Callithrix jacchus: one gene and its partners. The protein of the gene in region 3 interacts with the protein of the main gene of each other region in a pairwise test. Links are inferred from orthologs where the notes say so. Each region holds a gene or a part of one and is shown on either strand. Other genes may lie near its edges.

Evidence for each region. The genes of interacting proteins can lie anywhere in the genome.
Region 1: the proteins of CEP63 (region 3) and CCNI interact in a two-hybrid assay, tested with the Homo sapiens proteins (2 studies listed by BioGRID and IntAct). The link is inferred for Callithrix jacchus from reciprocal best matches to the Homo sapiens genes CEP63 and CCNI.
Region 2: the proteins of CEP63 (region 3) and ARFIP2 interact in binary tests that used the Homo sapiens proteins (3 or more experiments, as listed by UniProt). The link is inferred for Callithrix jacchus from reciprocal best matches to the Homo sapiens genes CEP63 and ARFIP2.

Annotation. Positions count from the first base shown.
Region 1 is NC_133504.1:120,960,686-120,964,638, reverse strand, and holds the start of CCNI (cyclin-I), read right to left. Parts: upstream 2,801-3,953; 5' UTR 2,294-2,800; intron 1-2,293.
Region 2 is NC_133511.1:72,167,111-72,171,148, forward strand, and holds the start of ARFIP2 (arfaptin-2), read right to left. Parts: upstream 2,801-4,038; 5' UTR 2,700-2,800; intron 1,922-2,699; 5' UTR 1,880-1,921; coding exon 1,781-1,879; intron 1,531-1,780; coding exon 1,434-1,530; intron 720-1,433; coding exon 601-719; intron 421-600; coding exon 40-420; intron 1-39. Other genes in the region: TIMM10B (mitochondrial import inner membrane translocase subunit Tim10 B), read left to right, coding at 3,156-3,299, 3,495-3,671. UniProt on the Homo sapiens protein: Plays a role in constitutive metalloproteinase (MMP) secretion from the trans Golgi network. May have important functions during vesicle biogenesis at certain cargo subdomains, which could be predominantly utilized by secreted MMPs, such as MMP7 and MMP2.
Region 3 is NC_133518.1:49,629,266-49,632,765, forward strand, and holds part of CEP63 (centrosomal protein of 63 kDa), read right to left. Parts: intron 2,045-3,500; coding exon 1,811-2,044; intron 1,531-1,810; coding exon 1,391-1,530; intron 295-1,390; coding exon 157-294; intron 1-156. UniProt on the Homo sapiens protein: Required for normal spindle assembly.

The DNA of each region.
Region 1 (3,953 bases), on a different chromosome or scaffold from region 3:
CAGGAAATAACATAAAACTATTTTGGTTGGCATTTTTTTACACACACACAAGTTTAAACCAGTTTCACATTTCTCCTCCCATTTTCTCAACTGCTGCTGCTTCTCCTTTCTCCACGCTTATCAAATGTCTGAGGTAATAGGTAATGCTTATTGTACAGCGTAACTACTTCAGATATATATACACGGCCCCCTGCTGCTCTAAGGAAAAGTGCTGCACAGTGCTGGGTATACAATATAAACAACTTCACTAATAGGTATTACCGTATTTACTATCATCATCATACCAATTCCATTAATAATCCTGTACTGGTGCTGAGTTCTGAATCTTAGTTCCCATTCTGAAAGGAGGGATTAATGTGACCATACAAGACACCTGAAGTTCTACCATTCACTCCTTGACTTTTTTATGCATTAGAAACAATAAAGGTACTTGCAATTCCAAGTGTATGCTCTTTCCTGATCTCCAAGGATGTACAAAAACTGTTCTTTCAACTTTAAATGTCCTCTAGCTCATATCTCCCTTCCTAAAGTTTACATCAGTCTGTAAGACTCTAAATTTGTGCAGTTGTGCCCTGCCTTCCTTCATCTGTACTTGGACATAATTCTACTGTTACATTTAATTGCTCCGTGATTATTGGAAGACTTGCCTTTCCTATTATAATGAATTCTTTCATGTCCATCTCCAGAATTTAGCATTATGCCTAATAAATAACAGCTTCACTTGTAAAAAGCTTAAAAAGTAAAGCACGCAGTGCTTACTACTTGGCCACCTATTGTTCAAAGTGCTATGCCATATTAACTCATGTAATCTTCCCACAACTTCATGAAATTGGTAATAGTAAGTCCCTTTTTTTCTAGTTTTTTATTTTTTCACTACACCCCCATTTCAGCCATAAAGCCCATTTTAAAGACAAAGACACATACACAGGAAGATGAATATTCATTTTTAATGTTACACAATCAAAACAAAACAAAGACTCTCACTTCCAATCTTGAGCAAGACATATTGTAAGACCCATTCTAACCTACCAGGATGTCACATTACCACATAAACTCACTATTTGTAACTGCAGATCAACTTTACTGAACTTCCCTAACACATGCTGATTGTGTATTTCTTGATACTTCATCAGTATTAAGAAATTTCTAGTCCAGAGGCTCAGAATCTCTTTGAGATTCTCTGGTCCCAAATTAACCAATCTAAATCTTTTCCGTCCATTATTTCTTAATCTGTTTGACCAATCCTTTCTATTTCATGTGCCACAAACGACCTGGAAAAGCTAGAAGCAGTTATTTCAACAAACCCATTTTCAGGTCAGAGACCACACAGCGTAGAGTCAGACTTAATTCTGGCTACCGGGTTTTAGCCGTGTTGCCTAAGGAGAAAGTTAATCTTGTAGGTCTCAGTTTTCCTCATCTGTAAGATGAGGCTCCTACTACCAGCGTTGGGAGGATTAAATGAATTGCAAGCCACTTACGAGAATGCCTGGCAGATAAGCCTCAAGTGTTGTTATTTAACATCATTATTGTAATGATCTGCTGCTCAAAACAGAGTGGCTCCCCACTGACAGAATAAAACCTAAATATTTTAGTTCAGAGTCCGAATCCATTCTACCTCCCGAAACACCTCCCACTGTTGTGCTACCGAATTCTCAACTTCTGCCAAAACGATCTGCAACGGAACCCCCAGCTCCATCAGAGGCCCATTTGCTCTCCTTCAAATTCCGGTATTTAATCTGGCTTTTTGGGTACAACTCAAATCTCACCTCCTCCGGAATCCCCCACCCAACCGCCCCAAGCCCTGGGTAATGTTGCCCTCCCCCGAATTTCCCACACCAGAAGTTCACCCCATTCACTTGGCATTTACTCCTATTTGCAAACTTAGGCATCTTCCCGGAGTTCCCGCAGGACCGTTCATCCTAAGGTGGGGGTGTGTCCCCTTCTTTGTGTATAAACACAGACTCGCCGAGCCTCCAACACGCACTATAGAGTAGGTAATTTGCTGCTGCCACAAAAAAAAGTTACTCGCTAACACAAAAACTGGCCTTAAAGGGAACACAGTAAGGCCGTTTTCAACTGGGCAGGTACCGGGTTGGTTTGGGGCGGGAGGACGAAGAGGGTGGCCCCGAGGTTCCCCCGACTGGGGAGATGCGGGAGGGCGGGTCACCAGCAAGCAGAGCGCAGCTACGAGTGCTGCCACTCGGGTGGCGCTGGGGGAGCGGCGGGGCCCCAGCGCGTCGGCGCCGGCCGCGGAGACGCGTCAAGCCCCCCGCCCCCGCCCCCCACCCCTCACCTTCTCCTCTTCTTCCTCCTCCTCCTCCTCCACGTCAGAGCTGTAGGCCTCACGATGGTGACGAGGGGTCATCCGGCAGCCCGTTACCACTTCATTCTCCTCGACGCGCGGCGGCGGTGCGCGCGGGACGACGGGGCCGACTGAGGAGGGAGAAGAGGCAGAAGCGGGCCGGGGGACGCGGGCGCTAGCGCTCGAGCGGGACGCACGGCTGCGGCCTCTGGATTCGTCAGCGAATTAATTCCATGATGACCCCCGGCCTAAGGCCGCGGCCGCTCGAGCCCGAGTGGGGAGGGGGCTCCCTTTCGCCATAGGGCGGCGGGGGCCGGGGAGAGGCGGGGGGTGAGACCGGCTCTGCCCCTGCCCGGGGAAAACGCCTCCGAGGGGAAATGGTGAAAGGGGGGGAGGGGGAAAAAAAAAAAAGAAAGGGGAAAGGGGGGAAAAAAATAAGAAAAAGCGAGGCAGAGGCGCTGCCGCGTCCGCTCGCGGGGAAGGCTGGGGAGGGAGGGGAAGGGAGGAAAAAGTGCCGGCTTCCTCGGCTCCGCCCTCGCGGATCGATTCCTAGACTCGCCTACTCCTTGTAAACAACGCGAATTGGTCTTTCACCCTTTCTCTTCCTCTCCGCCGCCTTCGGGGTCCAACGAAAGTACGGAGAAGTCCCGCCAAAAGGAGACGGGCTGGGGAAGTCGTTGGCACTGGGATGGAAGGAGGGAGGACATTTTCTGGGGGCTAAGAAAAGCCGAAGGTGCGTGGACTCATTTTCCTTGAAGGAACGAAGGGTTGCTTGCAGTCTGCGCGGTGACGTCAACGTCTCCAGGCTCTGCTGAGGAGGCGTGCGGTGGCCGGAGAGTGCGCTGCGCAGGCGCCCGGGGAAGAAAGAACCGGCCGAGCGCTGCGCTTGGGGGAAGGGTTCTCACGGTCGGCTCCTCTGGTCCAGCCTTGCTTGGTTCTGTCCAGCCCTACTACTCATCTCCAGGCTCTTAGAAGGGTTCACTGGGAAGGGGCTACTGATCTCTCGGGTGGAGATCTTGCATGATTTGTTGACCTAGCAAAATATGTGTTCTCTTCTTACCGTTGACGTGTAAACAGAATACGGTTTTTCTCGCTGCCACATCGTGTGGGTGGAGGGAGATTCTGAAGGGTTTTAGAAATCGGGAAATTAGGGAGAATCTCACATCACGGATACTTAAGCCTCAGCGAAAACCATAAATTATGCTGCTGACGGCGAGGAACCTGCTTGGCAATGCGCCAAAGGGATTTTTTTTTTCCCCCTTGAGACTGTTGTTCAGGCTGGAGTGGGGTGGCGCGATCTCGGATCTCTGCGACCTTCTACTCCCAGGTTCAAGCAGTTCTCGGCCTCAGCCTCCCAAGTAGCTGGGATTACCGGCGTCTGCCCCCATTCCCGGCTAATTTTTGTATTTTTAGTATAGACGAGGTTTCAACCATCTTGGCCAGGCTGCTCTTGAATTCCTGACCTCGTGATCCACCCACCTCAGTCTCTCGAAGTGCTGGGATTGCAGGCATGAGCCACGGCACGCCCAGCCTCGCCGAGGGTATTTTATCCACTTAACCAACATGTCAGAGTATTTCAGAATAGGTTTTATTAACAGGTGCTTAATGAGTGTGTGGTGACGTAAATGGATTTTATTTGGGGTTCTATTAG
Region 2 (4,038 bases), on a different chromosome or scaffold from region 3:
CTCCCCCACCCCCTCCAACTTCTGGATCTCTGTACAAACCCTTAGGCTGCCTCCACAGGTGAGTGCTGCTGGGGGTAGGGCTGGGCCCACCCTGAAGGGGTTCTCCCTGTGGGCTGCAGGAGGGAGGGAGGATGAGGAATGACTGCCTGAGAGGGCCCGTGCCCAGTTCCCCCACCCTCTTTGGTCTGGCTGAGGCACCTGAAGCTCTGGGGACTTCTGGCTGAGGTCAGCAAAGGCATCACCCAGTGCATGCTGGGTCTGCAGCAGGCTGTAGAGGTGGGCTGTTAGTGCCCGGCCCAGCTGCAGGACACTCTCATACTTGCGCTTCGTCTCACGCAGCAACTCAATCTGTAGCTCTAGCTCCAGGTCCACAGTCCGTGAGCCTCGACCAAATCGTTCTGATAATAGTTGCTTTGTGCACTGATTGGGAAATGGGGGAATAGGTCAGAGACCCTAATAGCCTCCCCACACAACAATATCTATCCCAGCACCCCCAGGCTCCTACTCTCAGCCACAGATGAGGTATTTATGATCATGAGAAAAAGGGAAAAAAGGTACCCATAAGGAGTTTTGGGGAAGGGAGAGGTGCTTAAATTCTACCTTATAGGTGTTGATGCCCCATTTCTTGACAATGTCAAACTTCTCTCCAGCGATGCCCCGAGCCACCTCATCTCCAGGGCCAGCAGGAGTGGTGCTGTGAGATGGATGGCGGCCAGACCCTAAAGGATCAAGTTCTCTGACACCAGCCTCTCTTAGACATATGACACCTCTGTGGCCCCACCCATACTTCTCTCCCAGCACATGAAATTGACTTCCCTGAAGGAAATGCTAAAGACAACTGGATTCTACTGCTTACTAGGAGGAACTCGAATCTTGCACGGTGAGAACCAAATCCTGGTATATATATGACTTCCTTAGGGGTTGGAGGAGGGGTTTGCAGGGAGTTGCTGGTGTACAGGGGCAGAGGAAACAGAAGAAAATACACCGACTTTGGGGGTAGCAGGAGTAAAGGATGGTGGATCATGCTAACAAGAAACCTGGTTGCATTCCCATGTGGAATCTTAGTGTGAGATTCAGGACTGTTTGTTCCTCTAAACTTTAGAATCTAAAATAAAATTCTGAGAAGCCTCACAAAGTTCCAACTCAGCCTCAAGCTGTAGAGTAGGGCATTCCTGTGAAGTAGGTCTTAACTTTGCTCAGGTGGTGGCAGAGAAAGGACAAATGAGCCATTTCAGGGGCCAAATAGCAAAAGGGAAGTGGATGGACAATGCTGGGAGTTGCTCTTGGGCTGAGGAGAGTCCATGGGGTTCATACAAGCAGAAGTTCCCAAGATATCTAGACATAATTTAAGCTTTCCTTGACATATCCTATGCTTCCCCAAACCATTCCTGTCCCCTCCTCCACCCAAGCTTCCTGTTTCTGAACATTCATACCTGTGGGGATGAGTCCATCACCAGAGCCCCCATAGCCACCAGACACAATGCTGGTTTCATTGAGGTTGGGTCCTGACACCATCACCTGCTGGAGGTCCTATAGGCCAGAGAAGAGGGATTGCTTCAGGAACATAGGTGGAGCAGAAGCATTTTGGAGGTGGGAACAAGTTTGGATTCAAGCATCATAAAGTCAGTATACAAGGGAACTCTGCACAGAATCAGAATGATATGTAAAAAGAATGGAGTCAGATAAGTCAGGGGAAGGCTACTGGAATCGGGGGTGAGAACCCAGGGCTTAGAAATTGGATTCCTAAATTGAAACAATTAGAAAAATCAAACAGAAGCACCTGCTCCAGCCCATCATCTTCAGGAAGCTGCCTGGCTTCGCCGTTCCCGTGGATAGGGATCTCCATTGTGGCTGCCTTCCCTAGGATCCCGTCCGTCATGGCTAGGGAAGGTATTGGAGTAAAACTCTCCACCCCAGCACCCTGCAAAGCCCAACACAGAAGTTCTGGACACCGGCCAGCACTCTAGAAGAAGGAGGCCCCCCCTGTCATTTCTGAGGTTTCAAAGGCTGTCGCAGGGTTTGAGTGTCCCAGCGTTTGGCCACCATTCCTTTCTTCAGGTGTATGTATTTCTCCCCTCCAAAATGCACATGTGTACATAGGCACACCAAAGCACTGTGTCTCCTCACAAGTCCCCAGTCTCACCAGGACTCTGGTGATTATTCATATACTCATTCAGTCATTCAGCAGACATTTAGTGGGTGCCTCCTATGTGTCAAGCACTATTTCTAACAATTAAAACACAACAGTGAAGAGGGAAAGCCCGCTCTCTTAGAACTTATCTCCATGCAGGCGTGCTTATGCTGAGCCTTTCCAGGGCTCCGGTCTTCACCCCCCCGCCCAATTCAGGTTTGTTCTCCATTGCTTGGCCTTTCACACTCCTTTAGTGTTTCTTCCCCCTTCCTTCAGGGGGTCTCCCCCTCCTCTGTCTCATGCACCTCCTCTTCCTCGGGCCCTCCCCACCAGGCCTTAGTTAGATCAGTTGATGTATGTTCCCAGTCTCTGGTAAAAGCCTCTCTCCCAGGATAGCGGTGATCCCTTCCACAGTCAGTTATGTCTCTCAGGTGTGTGAGTCCCCGCCCCCACCCCCATACACCTGGACATCAGGTGTGTCCTCATCCTTCCCCAGGGCTCGAGGCATCTTGCCCTCTGGACAGGTTTGTGCGTTCAACTTCCCGTCGCCCAAGCATGTCCCTCTCACCTCGGGCCGGGCCGCTCTTCCCCTCAGGGCGCCAGGCCCGGGCCGCGCGGGGACCTCGGGCTCCAGTTCCAGTCGCGATCCTAGCAGCAGGTCAGGGACTCGGCGGAAGTGACGTCCTCTCCGGGCAGAAGAAGCCGGCCACGTCGCAGATTATAAGGGCGGAGGTGACGTCGCAGCCGCGGGCAGGGCGATGCTCGAGCTAGTTCTCCAGAGCGGCGAGAGGTTCCTTCCGGGGCGGCACCGAGAAGCTGAAACGGAAGTGGCGTAGGGCATGCGCCGGTGGCGTGATGGAGCAGCAGCCTCAGCAACAACAGCAACTTAGAAACGTGAGTGAGAACTAAGTCGTTGCGGGGCCAGAAGTTCAGCTCGCATTCCTGCGCACATCGCGGGAACCCCATGGAGCCAGGGATTTGAGGGCTGGAAACATCGGGCTATGGTGCGCGGGCCTGGGAAACTATGGGCGGCGAGACCTTGAGTAGAAGTGTGGTCTCCCTTTTCTCCCAGCTGCGTGACTTCCTGTTGGTCTACAATCGGATGACAGAACTCTGCTTCCAGCGCTGTGTGCCCAGCTTGCACCACCGAGCTCTGGACGCTGAGGAGGTGGGGCACTGTGTAGGGAAGTTACGCTACAGATAGTTTAGCAGTAGACTGCTTCCCTCCTCTCCCCACTTCCCCTATCTCTGGCCCTGGCCTTTTCCACGGCCCTCACCCCTAGGCTGGGCATGGGGAAGGAAGGGGGCGGGCCTGACAGGAAAGACACCTTTACCCTCCTCTTAAACCCTGTCTTCCTTCTAGGAGGCCTGTCTGCACAGCTGTGCTGGGAAGCTGATCCATTCCAACCACCGCCTCATGGCCGCTTACGTGCAGCTCATGCCTGCCCTGGTACAGCGCCGCATCGCAGACTACGAGGCTGCCTCGGCTGTGCCAGGCGTTGCTGCTGAACAGCCTGGGGTCTCTCCATCAGGCAGCTAGCCATCCCCAACCCCACGAGGGAAGGCCCTGGACGGACTTCTCTGATTGAAGGACCCCAGTGGACCTTGGGGTTGGTGAATCCTATACAGAGAGAATTCGAGGTTGCCTGAAAGCTGGGTGTCCTTGCTCCTTTTCCTCGAGCCAATAAACCCGCTTTTTATTCTGTTTGATTTATATTCTGGGCAAGGAAGCTTTGCCGACTTAATTGGCACAATCCTTTGTTCTGTCATTTAGTGCATATCCGCTGGCTTCAGCCCTGGCAGCTGAGGAATTTTCTTCTATATGTAGAAGGAAAACCTGAGCATTTGTAGGCATCTGGTTAAAGCAGGCTCTATGTGTACAGTTTTAAGATGGGTACTATGTCATG
Region 3 (3,500 bases):
TCAAAAAAAATAAATAAGAACACAGTCCATTTGTGGATGCTAGAAAAAAAATCTTATTTTTTTCACTAGAACTATTATATTTATTTACTTTATAAATATGATCAAAAATTCATTTTAATAACTTAAAATTTTTGAAATGTGTGTATAATCACGTACCTGCTTTCAAGACGAGTAACCTCTGCCTGCAGAAGTTCCTCTCTAGTATGGGTAAAATTCAACTGGGACAGCACGCTGTCTAAGTCCCCCTGCCCTTGAGAAGTGTACTTCTTTTCTGCCGGAGAGTCTTCCCCTGGCCTATGGAAAGACATAGGATGATTGTTAAGGCCTTTATCTCTGCCAACAAAAAACAATGCACATCTAGTTTGTATTTTCCAATCATTTTTGGTAAACTCTTTGGAACTCATTTATAAATGAGTTCCTGCTTTATAAAAACAATATTGGGAATGCCTCCTGCTTTATAAAAACAATATTGGGAAAGGAAAGCAAGAGTCCAGAGATGCTCCTTCTTTAAAAAGTCAGCGGCAATTTACTCCCTTCTTAACTGAGATTTGGCCTATTTTTCAAGGGAAAAAGACAAAATGGCAAAATCACTTCACTGACACTTGAAACCCTGTACCAAAAAAATTGAAAAGTTACAGGAGAATTCTGGCAAAAATAAAAGTGTGCAACAGACTTTAATCAAGCAAGAAGGCTAGCCCAATGGCTGGCTGCTACTAATGATAAGCAGCTACTAATCACTCCCTATTCCACCAAGAAAGTGAGGCCTCCAGGAGACAGGAATGACACAGAAGACATGAATGACAATTCCCTTCACATCTGGAGATTCACCAAGCATGCAAACTGACCAAGAGGTTTCTAACTTTTTAAACATGAGAGTCTGAGTCTCTGTTAGGAACCCAAACTGGAGGCAGAAGAAAACTAACCAAACAAAATTTTATAACACCTTAAAAACCTAACTCAGATATGATCAAACATAAAATTATAAATATGCAATATTAAAACTAGTGCTTGGACAGGCACAGCAGCTCATGCCAGTAATCCCAGCATTTGGGAGACTGAGGTGAAGGGATCACCTGAGGTCAGGAGTTCAAGACCAACCTAGCCAACATGGTGAATCCCCATCTCTAAAAATACAAAAAGTAGCCAGGGGTGGTGGCGTGCACCTGTAGTCCCAGCTACGCAGGAGGCTGAGGCAGGAGAATCACTTGAATCTGGGAGGTGGAGGCTGCAGTGAGCCAGGATTGCACCACTGCACTCCAGCCTGGGTGACAGAAGAAGACTCTATCTCAAAATAAAATAAAATTAAAATTAAAATTAAATTAAATAAACCTAGTGCTTAATGCCTAGCCATTAAGTGGCTAAGATGAGTAATATTGAAGGTTAAATTTACCTTAGAGCTTCTGCAGCGTGTTGAGCGTCAGCTGCCTTTATTTTTTCTTGTAATTTCTCCTTTAGCATTCTTTCCTCACGGATGAAATTTTCTTGAGACTGAAGAGCTGCCCTCAATTCTCTCTTTTCTTCCTGCAGAGCCTGCAAAAAAGTCAGATATGATTATAATGTTCTTTCAATTCCGTTTTCTTCCTGCATAACCTGCAAAATACTCAGAAATTGCTAAGCCAGATATTATTACAATTTTTCTATTTCATGAGGAAGCCAGGAAGTCAGACTATTAAGTTATGTAACAGTTACAACATTAACACTTATAAAGTAGGAAAGAAAGTATAGATTGCAGAACCTAGTTCTAGCTGAACAACACTCTTAAAACACTCATACACACACTTCCCCCAATTATAGTGATTTTAAAATACACCTCTAATAGTTTTTCAGATTCCCTCAATTTTTCTTCTTTTTGCTGCTGCTCCTGGAGAACAGTCATATTGGTTCCAACCAAGTCATTGACCCTCATGGTGAGGCGCTCTATTTCCAACTCATTGGCACAGATAGTATCATTGGCCCGCTCCAGTTTACTGCTTAAGTGCTGAATTTCTGATTGGCTGGAAAGTTCCACAGACTCTAATTTCTGTTTCCGATTGGCAAGCTGAGCCTAGAAACACAAACCATCAATCAATAGGTAAAAGGGAAATGATAATGAATGAATAAGCAAGACTAAAATGAACCTACTATTTCCATGAAAGCATAACGCACTGGCTCAATAAAATACGTATGCTGAGAAGGGGTAAGAAAGAATTGAGAGGCTGGGCATGGTGGCTGCAATCCTAACACTATGGGAGGCTGAGGAGGGCAAATCGCTTGAGCTCAGGAGTTGGAGACCAGCCTGGAAATATGGCGAAACCCCGTCTTTATTAAAAAAAAAAAATACAAAAATTACCCGAGCATGGCAACACAGGAGGATCACTCAAACCCAGGAAGCAGAAGTTGCAGTGAGCCAAGATCACACCACTGCACTCCAGCCTGTGTGACAAAGTGAGACCCTGTCTCAAAAAAATAAATGAAATAAAATAATGGATAAAGTAAAGGGATTCCTCAGAAGAGATGCTACAGTATTCTACCTACTTACACAGAAATTCAACCACAACCTGTCTAGAGTTATTTCCTATTTAAAACATAGGAAACAGGAGCTATAAGGCATTATTCTATTTCTGATGGAAGTTCAGTTATTAGAATTTTAAAATCACTAAATATGTAGTTTAAATTCCGCCCCCCCCCACTTAGAGCATGTTGTAATTATTCTGTTTTAACATTACAAACATTCATATTTAGATTAATCAAAGTGACCATAAAATGCTCTTTAAATTAAAAGAAATGGGGAAATTGTGGACTTTTGTTTATTGGAGAAAAAGGGGCTTATAAGGCAGAAGAGACTGGTTCTGTCATCAGTTTTTGGACACTTCCTGAGTTAAAAGACGTAAATACAGTGCATCTCAAATTGGTTTCTCTCAATGACATATCTACTGAGTACTATGTTTTAGGCTATGCATCTCAGCAATATTGGTTTTCAGCTCCCAACTTTCTAGTTTTTACAAGTTTTAATCCAGCATCCTTGTACTTCATCTACAAACTTAAGATGAATATAAATCATCTGTGGAGGTAAACTTCCCTTATTCTAAATATTTCTAAAGGGAAAAACACACAGTTTTATTTTTAAAATACAAGTAGAGATATCTCTGGGAAACTGTTGCAGATCTAAAGATTTTATAATTTATAATACAGGTCCAAATACTATACTATATATTGCAGTCAAGTAAAGTAGATGCTAAAAAGTTCCCATAAGCCAGAGAGAGTGTAGAAGAAAGGTGACGAGACAGACAAATACTCTTTGTATAAATTACAAATCAAGATTTCAGTGCCAAGAGCCATTTTTCTTTTTACCAGATCCCCACAATGGTATGAAGAAAGAACATCAACATTTAGGTTTAGATTCACTAGAACAATTGCTAAGCATGGAACTGTCTCCAAACTTTCGAATACAATATAAACTTTTTTCCAAGAGGAAATCTTATATAGAATCCTGTACAGAATAAATAAATGTGCAGATTGGG